Diceros bicornis minor: one gene and its partner. The main gene of each other region encodes a partner of the protein of the gene in region 2 in a complex. Links are inferred from orthologs where the notes say so. Each region holds a gene or a part of one and is shown on either strand. Other genes may lie near its edges. The genes, in order: GAR1 and TERT.

Region 1 (9,834 bases), on a different chromosome or scaffold from region 2:
TCTAGTCCAGACTCTTCCTTCGAGCTCCTATGTGAATATCTCACAAGTGCTTCAAAAAAATTATGTCCAAAACTGAACTCAGTATCTTCCCCCTCATTCCCTTCTCCTCCATTGTGGCCCATTTCAGTAAACGGTGACACCGTCCACAACCAGGTTGAAATCACACATCTGAAAGATGGTGATATTTTTTACTTCAACTTCAATAGCTAATCGATTACCAAGACCTATCAATTCTGGTTCCTACCCCTCATAAATCCATCCACTTTTCACCATTTCCACTGTCACTACCCTAGTCCACAATATTCTCTCTTCCAGGACTGATGCAACGCCTCCAACCCGGCCCCTTCACATACAGCACTGACTCCCTTCCAGGGGTCTTTTATTTTTCCAGTGCTCTTTTTAAGTATAAATTTAACCCGTATTTGCCCTGATATTTAAAAGCAAAACTAAAACTAAAGTCTAAACTCTTTCCCATGACCTGAAGGCCTTAAGTAATTTAGCCCCAGCCTACTTCTCCAGTCTTAGTTCACAACTTTCTCTACTCCTCCTAAATGTTCTATGTCCAAGCTGTAGCTCTGCCTTTTTTGGATCCCTAAGGTGCCTGAGTTTCTCAGAGACTTGCACATACTCTTTTCTCTCTTGTAATGCACTTCCTCCTCCTCTCTGACTAGCGTGGTGGTTCCCAAGTGCTAGCCTAACGATATCAAAATCATCCAGCTTTCCTTTTTAAAACTGAATCCTTGTCCCTACCTATCTAAAACCTACTGGGTCAAATTTCTAGGGGTGGGACCTAGAAATACAACTTCTTAAAAGCTCCCCCAGATAATTCTGATGTGCAACCAGGTTTGGGAATCACTCCTAGTCACCTTTCAGGACTCAGCTTCAAGCTCCTGTCCTCAGAAAGCCAATACACTAAATGTGGTCCCAACAGTAACATTCTCATAGCAACCTTTCGTCTTCACAGCATATATCATGTTATTGAAATATCTGTGAAACCACTTAATATCTGACTTCAATGTAAGTTTTATAATTTAATGTTTTACCTAGAATGTTTGGTCATGCAAGCTTTTCAATAAGAGAGTTCTACATAAACTAAAAAACATACTCTAGCCGTCACAGAATTTGCTACTGTGAGCAAGGAATACTTTCTGAAAGCCTGCACTAAAGGACTTCTAAGGATCAGTAAGTTCAGCGTGTACAGCACAGAACATCTCAGTGTAGAGCACGCCTAGTGACACACTGGGGAGTCTCAAGCGCTCTACGTAGGACTGTCCTGAGGGGGCCACTCACTTATAAAACCGAGGATCCTAGGGATCATAAGCTTGACTCACCTTCTGCAGCTTTTTAAAGGAAGATGCCTTCATGTTTTCTGACAATTTAACTGAAAAATACTATTAATTTTATTAAGGAATAAGCAATTAAGATCAAAGAAGGTAACCTTCTGAATTCACACATAATTTTAAAAACAACGAGATTAGAATACATGGAAATATTTAGGAAAAGTAAGAAATGAGTTTCCAGGAGGAAATGAGTTTTGTTTGTTTCAAAACTTCCAATTCCACCACACCACTCAGTGGCATCGGCACATCCCAAGCAAAGTATCTCAATCCTGTAGCACTTATCCAAATGGCAATTATTTCTAAAACCTTCTAGAAAGGAAGTCACACTTATAGGGCCTATCTTTTCAATATATTTGACAATACATTCTCCTCTCTTGATTCTCCTTTATGGTCCAATCTCAGCAATACTCTGTCCAATTTAATGAAGCAGCAAGTCTGATTTAACCAATACTCAGCAGCAGAAAAAGGAAATAGTAACCTTTCAATGAGATCACGAGGTCTTCCAATTAAAAAGGATACAAAATCTCTAAGTTGTCCAAATATTTCATCCACTTTTCCAATTTGCTCTTTGTTTTCTAAATAAACTGGAGCGTTGAAATAAGGCACCTTATTTTCATCTGTGGTACATTTACAAACTATGTCATCTTCACAGGGATGTAGGAACTCTCCTAATACTGAAACAGGACAAGAAAACGTTAAAATATAAAACAACTTCAAGTGATACTGACCAACCTCTTCTGGAAGCTCTCTTCTTGGCTGCCTGGGATTTCACCCTATCTGTTCTCCTCTGAGGCAGAAAAGCCTTCCTGGGTTGGTAAACCAACTCCACAACATACTAGCTACATGATCTAGGCTAAGGTTCTCATATCTCTGCTTCAGTGTCTTCATCCTCAATATAGGGCTAATAACAGTACCGACATGTTAACATAGTATTGTGAGGATTAGGTGCTTAGAAAAGTGCCTCACACATTGAGATCACTCAACCTATAAGTTATTTATTATAATAATAACTATTATTATTTTATTAAATGCTTCAATCTACTGTCTCTTCTTCCTTCTCCCCAATCCCTAACTGTACATCAGTCTTTGTTGTTCTCCTGTCTTTTTTTCCTCTCCTTTTACAACTTCCCACAACCATCTCTTCACCAATTTTTGGTGAAGTCTGGAATCTCTTTCAGGGAAGTCTGGAATTTCAAAATAACTACTTTTGTTTTTAACTGACTGTCACCACAAACTGAAATACCACATGCCTTCAAAACCAACTCTCCATCCCTATCACCCAAGCTCAAAACCTGGAACCATTTATTCCCAGTATTAGCCAAGTTCTACTGAGTCTGTTTGCACTGAAGTCTCTCTCCCATCTACCCCCTCCTTCTTCTTCTCACTTACACGATGCTCTCAATGCCACATGCATGGACTATTGTGATGGCTTGTGGGCTAGGACCTTTGACTCTAGCCATTGCCCTCTTCAAACGATCTTCCATCCTGGTCCAGCCTATTCCTTATAACAGACTCTGCTCATCCTTTTTCCCCTTTGATGTAGGCTGCTACTGTCAAATCTCTGTCTCAAGAGTCCATCCCACCTCATTGATAATTACCCCCTAACTGCTCTAATTAGGTTTTTTTCTTGACTTCCCGTCTGTAGTTTCCCTTCCAAGCAAATTTTTTTTCCTCACTTCTCTTACTTATGAGTAGTAACTGAAAGCATGGGCTTTGGAGCCAGAAAACTTGGCTTTGTATCTCAAATATATCACTCACTGATCACTCATCACTAACTATAACCCTAGCAAAAAAATTTAATTCTGAACGACAGTTTTCTTATCTGTGAAATGGGGACAACAAGTATAATCACACAACATTACCTATTTAACATCTTCCTTTCAGCCCAAGCTCAAGTTCCACCTCCATGATGCATTCTAAGTGTCCCTGAGCTTTCCTGCTCCCCTTATATGCTACAGCAGGATTATAAGTCAGTTTACAGCATCTCCACAGACTTGCCTCCCCAACCACGCAGCACCCTGCGTAGGACAGCTGCGGGATCGCTCTCAGCACCTGACTCCCGCCAAACTCACTAATAACAAACCCAGCGCATCCGCCCCCTACCCCACTCACCCCCCACCCCCGAGCAGGCTAAGCTTTGAAGCTGACGTACAAACCACATGTTCCGGAGGTCCCTGGTCTTGGCCTTTGTTAAAGCCTCCGCGGCCACCCCCTCGTCCGAATCCTCCTCTGCCGCCGCCGCCTCTGAAACTGCCGCCGCCTCCACCTCGGAAGTGGTTGTTGCTGCCGCCCCCGCGACTGAAGCCGCCGCCTCCACCTCGATTAAAGCCCCCACGACCTCCGCCTCGAAAAGACATGCTCGCTAGAGCCTACCTGGAGAGAACAACGGCGCGCCTTTCGGTCACTGGGGCCTCGGGGGACACCACCTACCTCCCTTGAGCCTCAGCCCGAACCCCGTATGAGGGGACAAGCATCATCATATCAGCCCTGCACGTCGCCCACGGCCAGGCCGCCAGTGAGGACCCCCAAGGGAGAGGCGTGTCACCTCCCCACAGCCCTGCGAGCGCCGCGACCACTCGGCAGACTCGCCGCCCCTGGCTGGTCCCTCCTCCTCCAGCAGGCCGCGCGCTCTTCACGCCCAAGCCGCCCTCCCTCCGTCCCTCCCGCCCGCAGCGGGCTCCGCGCCCAGCATCTACGGTCCCCCTGCTCCCCACGGCCACTCACCGGGGCCACGTGCGCCTCCGGCCCGGGTGCGCACGTCCACCGCCCGGTACTTCCGCCGCCCGCGAGCCTCTTCAGCCACCGTACTGGCACAAGGTGGGCGGGGGGGAAATGACCAGGCACTCGAAAGCGGTTTACAAATAAAAGCCGGTCACCAGCGGAACCGGTGCCGCTGTCACCTTTCCAAAGCAGCCGTCAGCGGCGGAAGAGCCGCAAGAATATCTAACTTCAACCACTAGTTTACGACACTCACGTCGACTTGCCTACCGAGGAACAGAGGAAGTGACGTATAATGGCGGCGTCCTCTGCCTCGCGGCGTTGCAGGAAGTGCCGCGCGCTGTTGCCCTGGTGACGGCCGGCGTCGGGGGTCTACCCGCTCCCGGCGGCCCGGGGGTTTGCGCTGCGGGCTGGCGGGCGTGCCTCCTGCTTCCCAGGTTGCGAGGGGGTGCCCGCGCTCCTTGGGTGGTCGCCCGCTCCCGCGGCTGTGCCGCGGTGGGTCTGGCCGCGTGGGAACGCAGTGGAGGGCTCGTCTGGCTCTGCCGAGTCTCTTGTTTCTGCCGGGTCCTTTGAGTACGCGCGGTTGTGGGCTGAACCGGGCCGTGCTTTTGTCCCGCGGTGTCACTGAAGAAAAAATGCGCGCGCGCGTGTGTGTATGTATACTTTTAAAGAAACTATGTTATCTGATGGAAAGCCAAACCGTATCTTTACCTTTTGTACCAGATAGTTCATGCATTTGTCGAGTAGGTTTCGAGCACCGACGGCGGCGCACCGTCTCCACAAGCCCCCCCCTTCTCTCTTTAAGCCCTTGCTGTCTGTTTCCAGCTCCCGCTAAAGCTTCTCTCCTAGAGAAAGCCAGCGACCTCCTGTTTATTCAGTTCAGTTGGTCTCTTTTACACCCGAATCTTCTGAGACCTTACGTTGATATTGGACACGGTCGACCGCCTCTTCTTTGAAAGAGGGTGGGGAGTGGTACCTATTTCAGAGGGTTATTTTGATTCTGAAAGAACTTTGTAACCTTCTCTATGGAAACATTAGGAGTCACAGTATGTCCTCTACACTAAAGTATAAGCTTCTTGAGAAAGGATCTAACAGTCCTATCTATATATAAGAGGAATGTGATGAATGTATTTTTTGTTCAGATTTGATAAGTGTACATTAAATTATGTACATCATATAGAGGTAGAATTATTCATAACTACTCTGCTCTATTTCGCTTTGTTCCTAAAAAATTTTCGTGTCGTTTAACATTTACGTTCAGTGTTTCTATCTCCATTTGGTATGCCACTATTATCTCCAACTCAGTGTGATGAAACTATTGAACTTTTATGGAACCTTCCAGATTACCTGGTGCCCCTTTGTTTTATGTATAAGGAACCGACGTTCAGAGAAGTGAAGTAACTTCCCCAGCTAGTTAGAGGGACAAACTAGAACCTTGGATTCTCACAGTCCTCGGTCATTTTCAGCTGCCGCCATCCTCTTCCCGAATTTTTCATCATCCCAATTCCCTGTTTGTCCTCATGGTAGCATCATAATCCTGGTGTCTGAATCTTTGGACTCAGACCTTGAGCACTCTCCCTCTTCTCTATCATTGTTATCACCAGCCTTGGTTGCAGTCTCTTTTTTCCAAAGCTATCAATTTCTATTAATTCCTTCTAAGGTAGCTTTGCACTTTGCACTGCCGTTACAGGCCTCCTGGTGTCACTACCACACTTCCTTGTGTTATTCCTACCCCAAATCACCCAATATAATCTACAAGAATTCAAAAGTCCAGAAATAATAACAGTGAGCTACAACATCCTGTCACATTCTGAGCATCTTTGTTGCCTCAGAATAAATGCTTCCAGGCTTAACTTCTTCCTCCCATCTGTACTGCTCGTGGTGACCTACTGGCCGTACTAAAACAGTTTCCTCATACCATAGCCATCCTCAGGACTCCAGATAGCTCCCCGTTTCCTTTAGCAACAAGTCTAAAGCAAAATCTCTCCATCAGTTAGACCTTCTTATTCCCCTCCTGTGCTGTACACAGTCCCTCTGCTCCATCATTGCCTTGCTTCTCTTGCTCTTGGAAAAGGTGCATTTCCCATCCACTAGACCAGCCTTTTTCTCTCTTTTTACCCTGGAGAAACCCTTGAAGTAATTTTCATGTCTCAGAAACTCCTGCATAAAAATTATATACATCCTGGTAGGTTAACATGATCAACAAGTTATAGACATAATGATCCAATAGTAACTGTCAATGCTCTTTTTTTACTTGTAAAATACACATAACGTAAACTCATATTGATCATTTTTAAGTGTATAGTTCAGTGATTCACATTTCTGTGCAACTTAGTGCCCTTTTGAGTAGAGAAGGATATTTTTCTGTGAGTCTGCTTATTTTTTCCCAATTTATTAGCTTACTCCGTAATTTCCATCTCCTCACAAAGGATATGAACTCGGATGCAAATTAAGTGGGAGAGGAAACTTCTGTTTTTTCCTTTAGTAAAAATTGCAAATTGATTTTAATGATTGTTCGTCTCTCTTATAGTCCTATATACGCATAAAAGTGTTATTTTTGAAACTAAAAAATAACAAAATTTAACTGAGAATGACATCTTTGCTTGTGTTTTGCTATGTATATGCTCAGTTCTGAGTTGATCTTGAGACTGGCATACACAGATTTCATTTTCAACTGAAATGAGATGATTTCTGTCTTTGTTCTTAATGCTTGTTAGGCAAGAAAAAGCTTGCTCACATGAGTAAAAAGTTGAAAAGTACAGCAAAATGTTGATTACTTTCCTGTGAATGGCAGGATGTTCTTTCACAGAAATCCATAACTTGTAAAGGGGAAGTCAGTAAATTTCATCTTATGTTTATAATCATCAACTCACAAAGTGCTTCCTCTTCTCTCCAGGTCAGGTGCTCAGGCTGAGGAGAAGGTTCAGAGAAAGACGCCCTCAGTCCGTCATACACCTGTGTTAAAGGGGAGGGAAACACGGTTCAGTTTTGTTCTGCAGTTCCCCCAATGGTTTGGTCTCAACTTGAGACTCAAGACTCCCTCACTCTCAGATGCAAGCACCGGTGGAAACATTTCAAGATTCCTTTTTGCCATAGGGTTTTTCCAAAGATTCAGTTTCCACTTAAAACCAAGAATCTTGTCACTTAAAATAAAAATAGTTTCTCCAGGCCCTTGAAGATACTTGTTCAACTAGTTTGTATGATGAAAAATGTCTGCTAAGTAGGCTAGTTTGTGCAGCCATTCTTGATCTTCAATGCATTTGGCAAAATCTAGCCTACTGTTTTCTTGAAGGTATTCCCACAGTTCACTTTTCAGCTCAAACATTCTGTTAAGAACCAAAATCTGTATTAGTTTCTCTTGCTGTGTGACAAATTACCCAACACTTAGTGGCTTAAAACAATAAACATTATCTTGCATACTCTCTGTGGGTCAGAAATTCAGGAGCAGCTTAGGTTGGTGGGTCTGGCTCAGGGTCTCTTGTGAGGCTGCAGTCAAGATGTTGACTGGGGCTGCAGGCACCTGAAGGCATGACTGGGGAGGGAGGATCACTTTCTGAGGTGGCTCACTCGCGTGCCTCGCAAGCCAATGCTCTCTCTCTGTTGCCAAGAAGACTCAGTTCCTTGCCATGTGGGCCTCTTTACAGAGTGCAGCATTCTCATGACAGGGCAGCTGGCTTCCCGCAGAGCAAATGATCTCCTAAGCCATCAGATTTTATGCATGTGGCTGCAGATTTATGTGGTCTTTGTCCAGATTTTTGCACAGTATTTAAAACATTCTTGAGTGAACTGGCCTTTAATAAGTTTGGCCATTTTTATAGCATCATCTAGAATTTTTTTCATTTCAGCTCCAAAAGTGTGTGACACCAGCACCTCTCTGGGAGGAAAGCAGTGTGTTGTCAGTGCATCAGGGTTTTCTTGTTTATGAAAGTGAACCCTCTCAGGGAGAAATGCTTTTAATCACTGATGAGGCACCATCAGTGCCAATGCCAACACGCTTCCTCCAAGTTGCGCCTTTGTTTCCAATGTGAAGGCAAAATAGTGAATGTATCTTGGCCTTTGCTTGTTTGGGGCAGCATTTTATAGCAGAAAAATTTACTTGAATTTCACCACAATAGACGTATCTTACAAGTGCTGCCATATGACATTTGTTGTTGAAATCTGTTGATCCATCCATGAAGTTATTTTTTGGTTTATTACACAAAAATCTCTTCAGCGTCACGTGACATGTCATTAATTATAGCAATTTATTAAACTTTGACAGTGAAAACTTTTTAGTTTCTTATATTATGTCTTATCCTAGCATTTTAGTCTCTATAAATTTACATACTAGAATTGTGAGGTTCTTACAAACTATGGGTCCTTTTCCTTTTTTAGCAAAAATGTTCTGCTACTTAATAACTTGCCTTATGGACCTTTTTAATAAGGTGATAAACCAATTTTTCACTCTTGGATTCCAAAGACCATTTAAAATTATTTGCTTCTTTACTGTGATTTGTAGTTGTGCCTTATCACTTTTGCTGCAGCCATTCCTGCATTTTTACGTTGTGATTCGTCATTACTAACTTTTGTCAGAATTACCTAGGCCTGGAATTCTCTTCCATCTCCCCTTCATCTTCAAAACTCACCACACTGGACTCTAAGTCATGTTTGTAAAACACTGTTAATAAAGTGTAAAACAAGCAAGCTGAATAAGTAAATCACAAAAGAAAAGTGAAATCTTTGTAATACAATTCACTTCTAACCTGTAAGCTCCATGTTTTGCAATATTTACAACATTACAAAGCAGCAGGGAGGCATCTGAGTCACAGTACTTACAGAGTCTTTCCTAAGAATTCAAGTTTACCCCTTGGTTTTCTATCATCAGGAACGCGTGTTTGCTCTCACCTGGCTCTGGGTAAAGGGAGGCTGGGGGAGGATAGGAGATGGGTCAAGAAGGAGAGGCTGATGCCATCAGTCTATCATCCCTCTCTCCTTACAATTCTGCACTCACCAGTTATCAACAGCCTCCCCCATCTTGCATCAGAAACTGAGAATGGACTCAATCAAAGGAGCACAGTCATTTGGAGCACTGCCATATAGGTGAACGACCTCCAGCACAATTATTAACAGGGCTGCTTAACTACTATTCATCACTGCAATCACTGGCATTGCATGGAGAAGGAAATTCAAAACTTAAAATTTTTTTTCCAGTCTCTTCTAGAACCCCTAGCAACTACCTCTCATAGAACCCCTAATGACATCTGCAGAACCCCAACTGAGAAATCTGCACTAGACTGTAAGCTCCTGAAGAGGGGAACTACATCTTATGTGTTTTGGTGTCCTAAGCACTTAGCACAGTGCCTGTAAAAACAAACTGATGCCCAGTAAGTATTTGTTGAACTGAACTGAGCTATTCTCTATACTTTGAACATCTGCCCATCCATTAAGATTCTGCTTGTCAACAAATGACTATAGAATGATGGACAAAGAGATTACAAAGAGATGTGGGAAAAAGAGAAAGGGTACAAGCACAGCCTAATCTGGGGTCCGAGATCTAAGGAGGCATACATCCAGCTGTGTTACTAAAAGGCTAGGAAATCTAGTTAAAATACTTGCTAAGGAGATGTTGTGAATGACAGAGAAGAGCAAGGGCTGAAAAACTTTTTATTGGAACAAAATTTTAAAAGGACTTAGCCAAGTTGCCATTAAATTGGAAACATTAATATAAACTCGTGACTTTCTTTTTAAAAAATTTTTATTATTAAAATTTCAAACATAAACAAAAGTTGAGAGAGCA
Region 2 (9,420 bases):
AAACCAATTGATATCAAAATGTGCAGTGACACAGCCCAATGTGGGGTGCAGCTAAAGCAGCACTGAGAGGGAAACACATAGCCAAATGCTCACCGGAGAAGTTAGAAGTGGGATGACTGAGTGACCCTGAAGAAAGAGAGGGAAGGATGTCACCCCAGAAAGAACTTCACCCCCAGAGAGAACTTAGCCAAGTTCAAACAAAGATCCATGAGAGGCCCGACAAGGCCCCCTGGACATGGGGGCTCCACTCTGAAGGTCAAGGGGGCCTCAGCAGGAGGGATACACCCTGACCACAGTTTAGGGAGAGTGATCGTGTGGTCAGATGTCAGTTGATGGGACAGGGCCAGTGGAGGCAGAGCGCAGCCTGATCTGCGCCCAGGCTAAGAGAGCAAAGGTTGCCACCAGCCCAATGAGGGGCCCAGGGGAGAGGCAGTGAGCAAGGGGCCAAGGCACCTCCGAGTTGCCATCAGGAATCCTTTTTTCAACATCTCTAGCAACACTTGACAGCAGATGTGGACTCCCCAGAAGTCTGGCCTCCAGCGCTGGGGACCAGAGAGCCGAGGGGAGTCAGTGGGCAGCAAGCAGACAGGACAATGGTCAAGGCTGGCTTGACAGAGGCAAATGAGCCCAGGGGGGCTGATGGAGTGCCTGGCAGGGCAGACGACCTGCACAGAGGAAGGGGCGTCCCAGCAGGAAAGGACGGAAGAGGTGACCAGGAAAGGGGGCTCAGAGGCCAACGCCATACTGTGCATCATTTATTCAGACAGTAGGCAACCGCGGGGCCACAGCCACGGAAAGGGGCACACGCCTGGGCACAGCTCAAGCCAGCGAGGATGCCGGGTGGTCCAGGGGCTGGGTCCCAGCTGCCTGGGAAACAACACCTCCTCGTGCCCACAGGACACAGGGGCACGGCAGACCTCATCTGAAATCGGGGAGCCAAATTACAGAACCCAGACTCTCCTTTCAAAGCAAACTGGAGCCCCAAGGGCACAAACGAGTCATGTGACAACACATTTGAGCATGACGCCTTCCCAGCTCATCCACGCTGTCACATGTGGCAGGGACTGCTGGCCAACAGGCGCCAAGTCACGCAAGATGAGAACACCAGAGAGACCAGCAGTACGACGCCGCGCTTACACTCAGCAATACCGTTCCGTACCCTTAAACATCTGTTAGGAGGGCAGACCTCATGTGTTTTTCCCCCCCACAATTAACAAAAAAACCTTAAAAAACCCAGTTGCTGGAAGGTCACCTCGTCCGCATCACCTGGCCGCAGAGCCTCTTGGGGAGCCAGAAAGGGTGTGCCCCGCACCCCCCAACGGAGGCCATGGCAATCGAGATCTTTGGGGATGGGCGGGGCATATTTAAAGTCCCCACCCCAGGAGACTGTAACGTGCAGCCCATGGGCAGACGTGGCTCTGACGAAGGCTCTGCCATTCTTTCTTCTAGGAGTCCTGGGTGTTGTGGGAGTTTGGGGGGGGGTCAAGCCGAAAACACTGGGGCCCATGCTGGCCGCTGCTGCACCATCAGGGAGAGGAGGGTGGTGGCTGGTCCTGTCCACTCGTGGTGTTGGTGTGCCCACCAGGAAGGCACTGGGAGAGAGGGGGCTGAGTGGTGGCTGGACCAGAGGAACCTCAACATCAAACCGAGAAAATCAAAGCCGGAGGGACACTGCAGCCCCAGCTGCAGCCCCGCCAGCACCCTTGGTGGTGGCCACTTCCCTGAAACAGGAGAGCCCTGCCGCTCCCGTCGCCCTGGTGACCCTTTCCTTCCTAAAGATGGGACTGGGTCCTTGTTCAGGAGACAGTTCTTCTACCCTCCTCTGTCTGCCCTGCCCAGGCACAGCAGACACACATCAAAACTTAAATTCAGATCTGTACGCTGGCTGAGCAGGCGTGGCTGAGCAGGCGTGGCTGAGCAGGTGTGTCCAGGAAACTCAGGAGGCTTATCTCCCAGCTCCCATTTCTATCAGTGGGGCACCATTTCAAGGTGATAAACCCTGATGTCAAAAAAGGGATCCTGAATAACCCGTCGGCCCGCTGAGGAGAACTTCGGACACTTCTGTCTGCTGCCAGAGCCCTACTCCACGTGTGTCCCATCTGCTGTCTGCCAGAACCTGCCTGAGTCCATGAGGGTCTCGTAGGTTTATACGTGGGTCTTACAGTTTTATGAAAACTAGATGGGAGAGGGGATCAGAGGCAGAGAAATCAGATGAGCCACCCGACAGCCACAGGTGGGGTTACCCGCGTAGGGAGGGGCTCTGCTGCGTTCCGGGTGGGGGCCTGATGCTGCAGGGCCGCCGCCTCCTCCCCGGGCTCCTCACCTGGGCTCCGCAGCCAGGCGCAGTCCTGCACTTTCATCTTCCAGGTCAGCTCCTGCGAGGAGAGCTTGGCGTGCTTCCCCAGAGAGACGAACTTCTTCACGTTCCTCAAGAAGCGGCGCTCGTTGTGCCTGGATCCCCAGAGGCCAGCAGGCACCAGCCGGCACAGACAGGCCCGCAGGAACGCGTACACCTGCCAGGGGCTGCTGTGCTGGCGGAGCAGCTGGACAAGGCGCCGCGGGCCTGCGTCCTCCTCCGGGGCCGCCGCTGGCCTCTCCCGGGCGCTGACGCCCACTCCACCGCACCCCTGGTCAGCGGACCCTGCTGGGGTGGCCACGCCCCGCAGCGGACAGTGCGTCCTGAGGAGCGCGCCATAGGGGCACCGCGCATGGTTCCCAAGCAGCTCCCGGAACAGGGGCCTCATCCGCCAGTAACGCGCGGGCAGGCGGCGCGTCCTGCGGGAAGGCCCTGGCCGCCCGGGCTTCGAGCCCAGAAAGATGGTCTCTACGAGTCTCCGGGCCCCTGCCAGGCTGGGCTGCATGCAGCTGGGCAGGAAGGAAGGGAGCAGCCGTTCCTTGCCGCCAGAGCAGTAGAGGAAGTGCTTGGTCTCGACATACACTCGGGGATCGTGTGCGCCCCGGGGCCGCGGTGACCGCCGCGTGGGTGGGGAGCCGGCCTCGCGCTCTCGGTGCAGAGGGGGGACGGGGAGACGGGTCCTCGGCGGTTCGCCCTCCCAAGACGCGGCTTCCACGGCGGTTTCTCTAGGTGTCACCACGTGGGGATCGGTGTCATTTGGCCCACGTGCCCTGCCCAGGTGCGCCCGGGACACCTGCCCGACGGGCCCCTGCTCCGGCTCCCCAGCTAGGCCACGCCTGGGCCTCTTGGCTGGAGGTGGACTTCCCCCAGAGCTGACCCGACGCCGCCTCCCGCTCCGGGCTGGTGGCCCTGGGGGTCCCCTGGCCCCCACGTCGCCGCCGTTCCAGGTCTGGCGCGTGGGTCGGAGGCCCGTCCGGCTCTCGCCCGCGTGTGGCGTGGGCCGGCGGCAGGGAGACGAGGCAGGCCGAGCCGCGGCGGTGGTGCAGAGATCGTAGAGCGGCGGCCCGCACACCTGGTAGGCGCAGCTCGGGGCCACCAGCAGGTAGAGTGAGCAGCGTGCCAGCAGGTGGGTAAGCACGTCGTCGCCCACGCGGCGCAGCAGCAGCCCCCATGCGCCGCTGCTGCGCAGCGTCTCGGTCACCGTGTTGGGCAGGTAGTTGCGCACGTTGGTCGTGAAGGCCACGGGCGGCCCGCCGCGGGCCCCGTCCAGCAGCGCGAAGCCGAAGGCCAGCACGTTCCGCGCACCGCGCTCGCAGAGCCTCTGCACGACCCTGGCCACCAGCTCCTTCAGGCAGGACACCTGCGGGAGGGGGGGCTCTGACTCGCCGGGGACAAAGGTGACCGGGAACCCGGGGCGCACAGCCCGCGTCCTGCCGTGTTCCTCACGGCCCTCCCTCCCCAACTCCTGCACGCCCGACCCAGGTCCCCGGGGACAGCCCACCTGGCGGAAGGACGGGGCGGCGGGGGGCGGCTGCGAGTCCCAGGGCACGCACACCAGGCACTGGGCCACCAGCGCGCGGAAGGCCTCCGGGTCCCCGCGCCGCACGAGCCGCCGGCCCTCGGGCCCCAGGCGCCGCATGAAGGTCGCTAGTGGCAGCACCTCGCGGTAGCGGCCCCGCAGCAGGGCGCGTACGGCCCGGCACCTGGGCGCGCGCGGCATCGCAGGCGAGGGCGGGGGCCGGGGCTCCACGTGCGCAGACACGCGGCTGCAGCGCGAGCTGCATCCACCTGAGCACGGCGCGGCAGAGGGAGGGTCGGGGCGGGGGCGGGTCCGCACGGAGGAAGGGGCGGGGCCCGGCGGGGGCCGCGCGGAGGGGCGGGGCTGGAGGGAGGAAGGGGCCGGGTCGCCCAGCGCCCGGGGGCGGGGTCTGGCCGGGCCCGAGGGGCGGGGTCGCGGGAGGCAGGTGCTCGGCCTTTGCCCTCCCTGCGGCCCGCGGATTCCCGCGTCCAGGTGTCATCGAGGACCCGGCGTGCCCCCACCGCCCAGCTGCACCCTGGCAGCCCCCTCACCCATCCCAGGGTGCAGGGGTCGCAGCAAGGGTCTCACGGCGGAGAGGCTCTGGGGGTTACCCGAGAGAGGGGACCATAACGTGGGTCCCTGAGGGACCTGGTGCGCTCTGCGCCCCCTGGGGAGAGGGTCCTTCTGGGTTGTCACTTTCTCACGTGGGCCGTGACCCTGGCACAGAGGGCTGCTCTGGGGTCCTGCAGAAGGGGTTTGGAAGGAGCAAGACAGCGAACGTGTCATGAGGTGCGTTGGAAAGGAGAAAATGGACACCGCTGCTCCCGCCTGGCGGGGTTGGGGGAAACTGAGGGCAAAGGCGCATCCTCGACGGGCATGAGGTGGTGCTCCCGGAGCTCTTCCCGCCGTGGGCAGTGGTCAGCGGTCAATGGTCAGCGTGCAGTGGGCAGGCCTTGCCACGTGGTCAGTGGGCAGCAGTCAGCTGGCAGTGGTCAGCGGTCAGTGCAGTACTTCCCCTGACGACTTGGTCTCCTTGATCCCGGGCTGTAGTTTCTCTTTCCGGGTTCTTAGGCTTCTGTTGTGGTCCCAACCATACACAAAAACCCCAAATCAGTTCCCTAATAATCAATGATCATGAGGTCATCCACCAAAGGAAGGAGAGAAAATGGAGCCGCAGGCTCCCAATGTGGTGTCACCTGCCCATGGCTGCCTTCATCCCCGAGCCCCCAGAACCACCTGCCCTCCCACACACTGGGAGGAAGAGGAGACTGGACAGGTCAAGGGATCCGCCTACAGCCTTGCAGTGCCCCAGAGAGAGCCAGAAGCCCCCGCCTTGCAGCCAAGGGGTGGAGACCCTCCCCACGAGTCGCCCCTCCCCAGACCCAGGAGGGCAGTTTTGACAATGGCTCGTCACATGAACAGGACAGCTTAGAGGAGTCACCATAATGAGATTCCACCCGAACCCAGACACTGTGGGATGTTCACGTGTGCGTCGCTAAGAAATGGGGAAACTTCTGGGTCTCCAGAGGCCCGTGGCAAACAGTGAACAGGCTGAACAAATGTTAATCTTTCACGAGGTAAGAAACCCAGTCAGGAAATTGTATTCAAGGCTGTGGCATTTAAACAAGCCTCCACTCTCTTCCCTGGACAGACGGCGTCTCATATTTGTCTGCTGGATCAGGGTCTGCCAGGGCTCATGCGACTTGGGATCGGGGCTGTTGTTCTAGACAGAAGTGTGTCTAGTGGGCACGGTCAAGGCCCAAGGCTGCGTTTGAGAACTGCTCATTCTGCCACTGGAGGATTTGGGCTGCTTCCGGGAAATTTGCTCTTTTCCAACAACAGTACGCTGGTTCACCTGGAGAAACCAGCATGGAAAACATAATTAAAAAAAAAAAGAATAGAGGAAACCGAGGCAGAAAACCATGCTAGCGTGATGAACAGTGTGTCAGTATACAGCTCAGATGGAAATCGTCGCCCTCTGGAATGCTCCCTCCAGTGTCCTGTGCACGGTTTCTCTCTGCGAGAAACTGGTCACGGTCTTAAATCACTGTGTCTTCAGACATGAAAAACGTACCAAGAAAAAATGTATGTTGTTGGCTTACGAGAAATACAACAGCGAAATCCCGTTCTAGGACTTCCAGAAGGGGACGTGGGCGTCACACTTCACACCTGCTGCTTCCTGATGCATCATCGGTCACTGAAGGAGTGGGAGGAGCCCCCTGCGTGAGTGAGGGGCTCACTAAGGAACTAGGGGGACCGACATGAAGAGATTTTCAACAGTGTGCCCAGTACCTGGACATTGGGGGTCCCCTGCAGAGACAGTCAGGGAGCCCCCGCTGGACTGCGGGCTGCCCCTTTCTGGTTGCTCCAAGAACCTGTAGAGACACCAACAGGCCACTGGTCCCTGGTCTGCAGATCACAGAGAAACCCACAGAGGCTGAGCCCCGAGCATGGGGAGGAAATAGAATCCGTCACCTCCAGGCTGTGCGGTGACGAGCACAGGGTCACGTCTGAGTAAGTGGTCGGCGTTGGTCCGTGCATGGGCTCAGTGTTCATGGGGCACCACGTGGCTCCTGGGTCACAGTGACTGGACTGAGGGCTCGGGGGCTGGGGTGGCAGGAGAGCCGGCTCTGGAGGGCAGCACGGGGAGGGTAGTGACTGCCATGCACTGCCCCACACCCACCCGATGGCACGCCTGGGGCACCTCGCACACCCCGCCTGGCACCCTCTTGGCAGTGTCCTGGGGGAGCACGTGGCTTGTGTCTCAGACCTGCCGCTGGGGGAGGAGCCAAGACGTGGGACAGCAGAATCGGGATCCAGACAGGTCTCAGCGGCCAGAACAGACCCAGTGCCCCATCACAGGATGCACACGGGCTTCTGTCCTCATGGAAGCTGACCACAAAGGGGGTAGCATAACAAAGACTGGGGTCAACACCGTGCCCTTGCTGACAGAAAGGCAGGTGCAATCCCAAGCCCAGCACTGGGGCAGGAGGACAGGACACTGGGACAGACAGGCAGGCCCCCTGGTGCTGCCCTGACCCTCTCGCTCCCTGGTGGAGCCTTCAACGAGGCATCCTCCAAGCTCTCTGTGACCCTCTGCCTCCATCATCACATCTCCCTCTGTGACCCTGACCCTCCTGCCGCCTCTCACAAGGACCTTCAGATTGATGTAGGGCCATCCGGATGATCCAGGGCCATGCCCCCACCTCAAAATCCTTAACGTACTCCCATCTGCGTAGTCCTGTGCCAGGTGAGGTCACACGGGTGCCAGGACTAGGATGTGCCATCTTTGGGGCATCAGTCTGCCCATGACACAGCGTGGCAGAGACAGTACAGCTGCTGAGAGGGCCCAGTTCTGCCTTGGGCCCCCCAGCACCCCAGTGGTTAACCCCCCGTAACTCACTAACCTGGGCGCGTGGTGAGTGTGTACAGGTCGACGTCATCTTATCTCCTGTGTAGATTTGTGTGACCAGCACCACCACCAAGATGCGGACTGTCCCACCACCTCCAGGATTGCCCCTGCTGCACTCACAGCCCTCCCGGCCTCCCTGACCCCTGGTGACCACCAGCCTGCTCTGGGGTGAAACTGTGTCATTTCAAGAAGGCTGTATAAATGGCATTGTGTCACGTGAGCTTCCAAGATTGGCTTTCTCTCTCCGTGTAGCTGTGGTGTGTCGATGGTCCACCTCCCTCATGTCTCGGAGCAGCCTTCATTCCGAGGTGTGGGTGTGCACGGTTAATTTAACCGTTCGCCTGTTGAGGGACATTTAGTTTTCCCGCCTTTCAAGCTATTACACATAGAGCTGCTATGAACCTTTGTAGACGGGATTTTGTACATAATTACATACATTTTCATTACTCCGGGGTACATGCCCAGGAGTGCAATTGCTGGGTCGTATTGTTTAGTGTTTATGGAAACCACCACACTGTTTTCCAGAGGGGCTGTGCCATTCTGCATTCCCACCAGCCACGTGTGTGAACTCCCATTCCTCTGTCCTTGCCAGCACTGGTGGTGTCACGATTTTTCACTGTAGCCTCTCTGTGGGGTGTAGTGCCTCTCACGTGGTCCTGAGGGGCCCCGACAATGCAGACTGTGGGAGGGGTCCTGGGGGGGGTGGCAGGGCGCTGACTGAGCCAGAGCGCCAGGCCAAGACACCAGGACCTGCGCTTGGGGCTCGAGGCTGGTTCTGGCTCAGAGGATGTTGGCCTAGGAGAAAGACAACCTAAGAAGCACTGTTGTTGCAACCAGGCGTGGGGTGAGAGGCGAGAGAAAGCCATGAGGCAGGTTTATGGACCTGGGTGTAGGAAGTGTTTTCTGGAGAAGCAGAGAGGGGCAGAGGGGCCTGACCTCCGTGTGGGCCCGAGGGAGAGCCAAGGGGTTCATTGGGAGGCGGATGGAGCAGACGACACGGAGCCCCGTCCCTGGTAGCATGGACCCCCACGTAGGGGGGGCTGCCCTACGGAACCTCGGAGTCTGTCCTCTGTCTCCCAGGTTCCCTGAATCTAGGGAACCCAATGCTCCGCTGCTGTTATGACCCCATCCTGGGGGCTCAGAGCACCCCCGTTTTATTTTCTCCCCAGGTTCTTCACTCAGGAGTCCGGGCAGGTCCCGGGAGCACAGTGAAGCAGAGATTGTTTCTGCCTCTGCTTTGCGTGGTTTGTCTTACCTGCAGGGGTTCCTGGAACACTCCTTTAAGTCTTAGTGGAAGAGATAAATAACTAGGAATAATGGCCTTCGCTTGTATAGAGCTTTACGACTCACGGAGATTTCGTGCCCACGAGCTCCTTGTCTCTGAGCAGCCCCGGGAAGCAGGTGGACGGTGCCATCGTCCTTTCTCACAGGCTCGGAGCGGGTGGTTCCTGAAAATCCCGATCGTTTGGGGCAGAGCTGGGACTGTGGAGTCCAAGGCCAGTGTACCCCCACACACCCACTGGTTGGGGAGACACAGCACAGCCAGGAGAAAGGCAGCGAGTTGGGGGGGCCTCTGGGGACATGGCTTGCCTGGGCGTCAGAGTCCTGGGTTGACGCCAAGCTCTGCTGCCAGAGCCTCGCTGGGTCTGGCAGTGCCCAGGGAAAACAGCCATGTTTCCCCACTGTCTTGGCAGACGAGGCGTTTACCTTCTGCCCTTGGCAGCTCTGCCCCATTAATCCGTCCTGATCTATTTCCAGGTCTCTGTATACTTTCTCCCGCACCTTAAATCACCTTATGAAAACCAATAAAATGTGCTCAAGGCTAAAAATCCCTTTGCACGCGATCCTCAGTCCCTGCACCTTGGCAAACACAGCTTGGTCCCGGTTGCACGCCTGTGGGTTTCTGCACTCTTGAAAGTCATTTGATGAAATTTAAGAAAGCAGTAAGATAAAATGATCCACTGGGATGTGGAAAGGTAGAATTTACTGACAGAATTAAGTCCTTTCATCACTCCCTTTGTGAACACCCACTCCCGGCCCAGACCATCCTAGTTCCCCAGCTCAGGGCACAGGGTCAGTGCCGCCTCCATGAAGCCCTTCAGGAGGGGGCCTCACTGGGGTCCGAGAAACTCA

The links.
Region 1: TERT (region 2) and GAR1 share a complex: the UniProt entries of both Homo sapiens proteins name them as parts of the telomerase holoenzyme complex. The link is inferred for Diceros bicornis minor from reciprocal best matches to the Homo sapiens genes TERT and GAR1.

What each region holds. Positions count from the first base shown.
Region 1 is NC_080750.1:5,226,648-5,236,481, reverse strand, and holds the start of GAR1 (H/ACA ribonucleoprotein complex subunit 1), read right to left. Parts: upstream 4,220-9,834; 5' UTR 4,158-4,219; coding exon of another isoform or gene 3,799-4,157; intron 3,714-3,798; exon of another isoform or gene 3,710-3,713; 5' UTR 3,698-3,709; coding exon 3,493-3,697; intron 2,015-3,492; coding exon 1,860-2,014; intron 1,392-1,859; coding exon 1,332-1,391; intron 1-1,331. Other genes in the region: CFI (complement factor I), read left to right, coding at 3,799-4,157, 4,220-4,553. UniProt on the Homo sapiens protein: Required for ribosome biogenesis and telomere maintenance. Part of the H/ACA small nucleolar ribonucleoprotein (H/ACA snoRNP) complex, which catalyzes pseudouridylation of rRNA.
Region 2 is NC_080759.1:61,426,051-61,435,470, reverse strand, and holds the start of TERT (telomerase reverse transcriptase), read right to left. Parts: upstream 4,080-9,420; 5' UTR 4,077-4,079; coding exon 3,858-4,076; intron 3,717-3,857; coding exon 2,324-3,716; intron 1-2,323. UniProt on the Homo sapiens protein: Telomerase is a ribonucleoprotein enzyme essential for the replication of chromosome termini in most eukaryotes. Active in progenitor and cancer cells. Inactive, or very low activity, in normal somatic cells.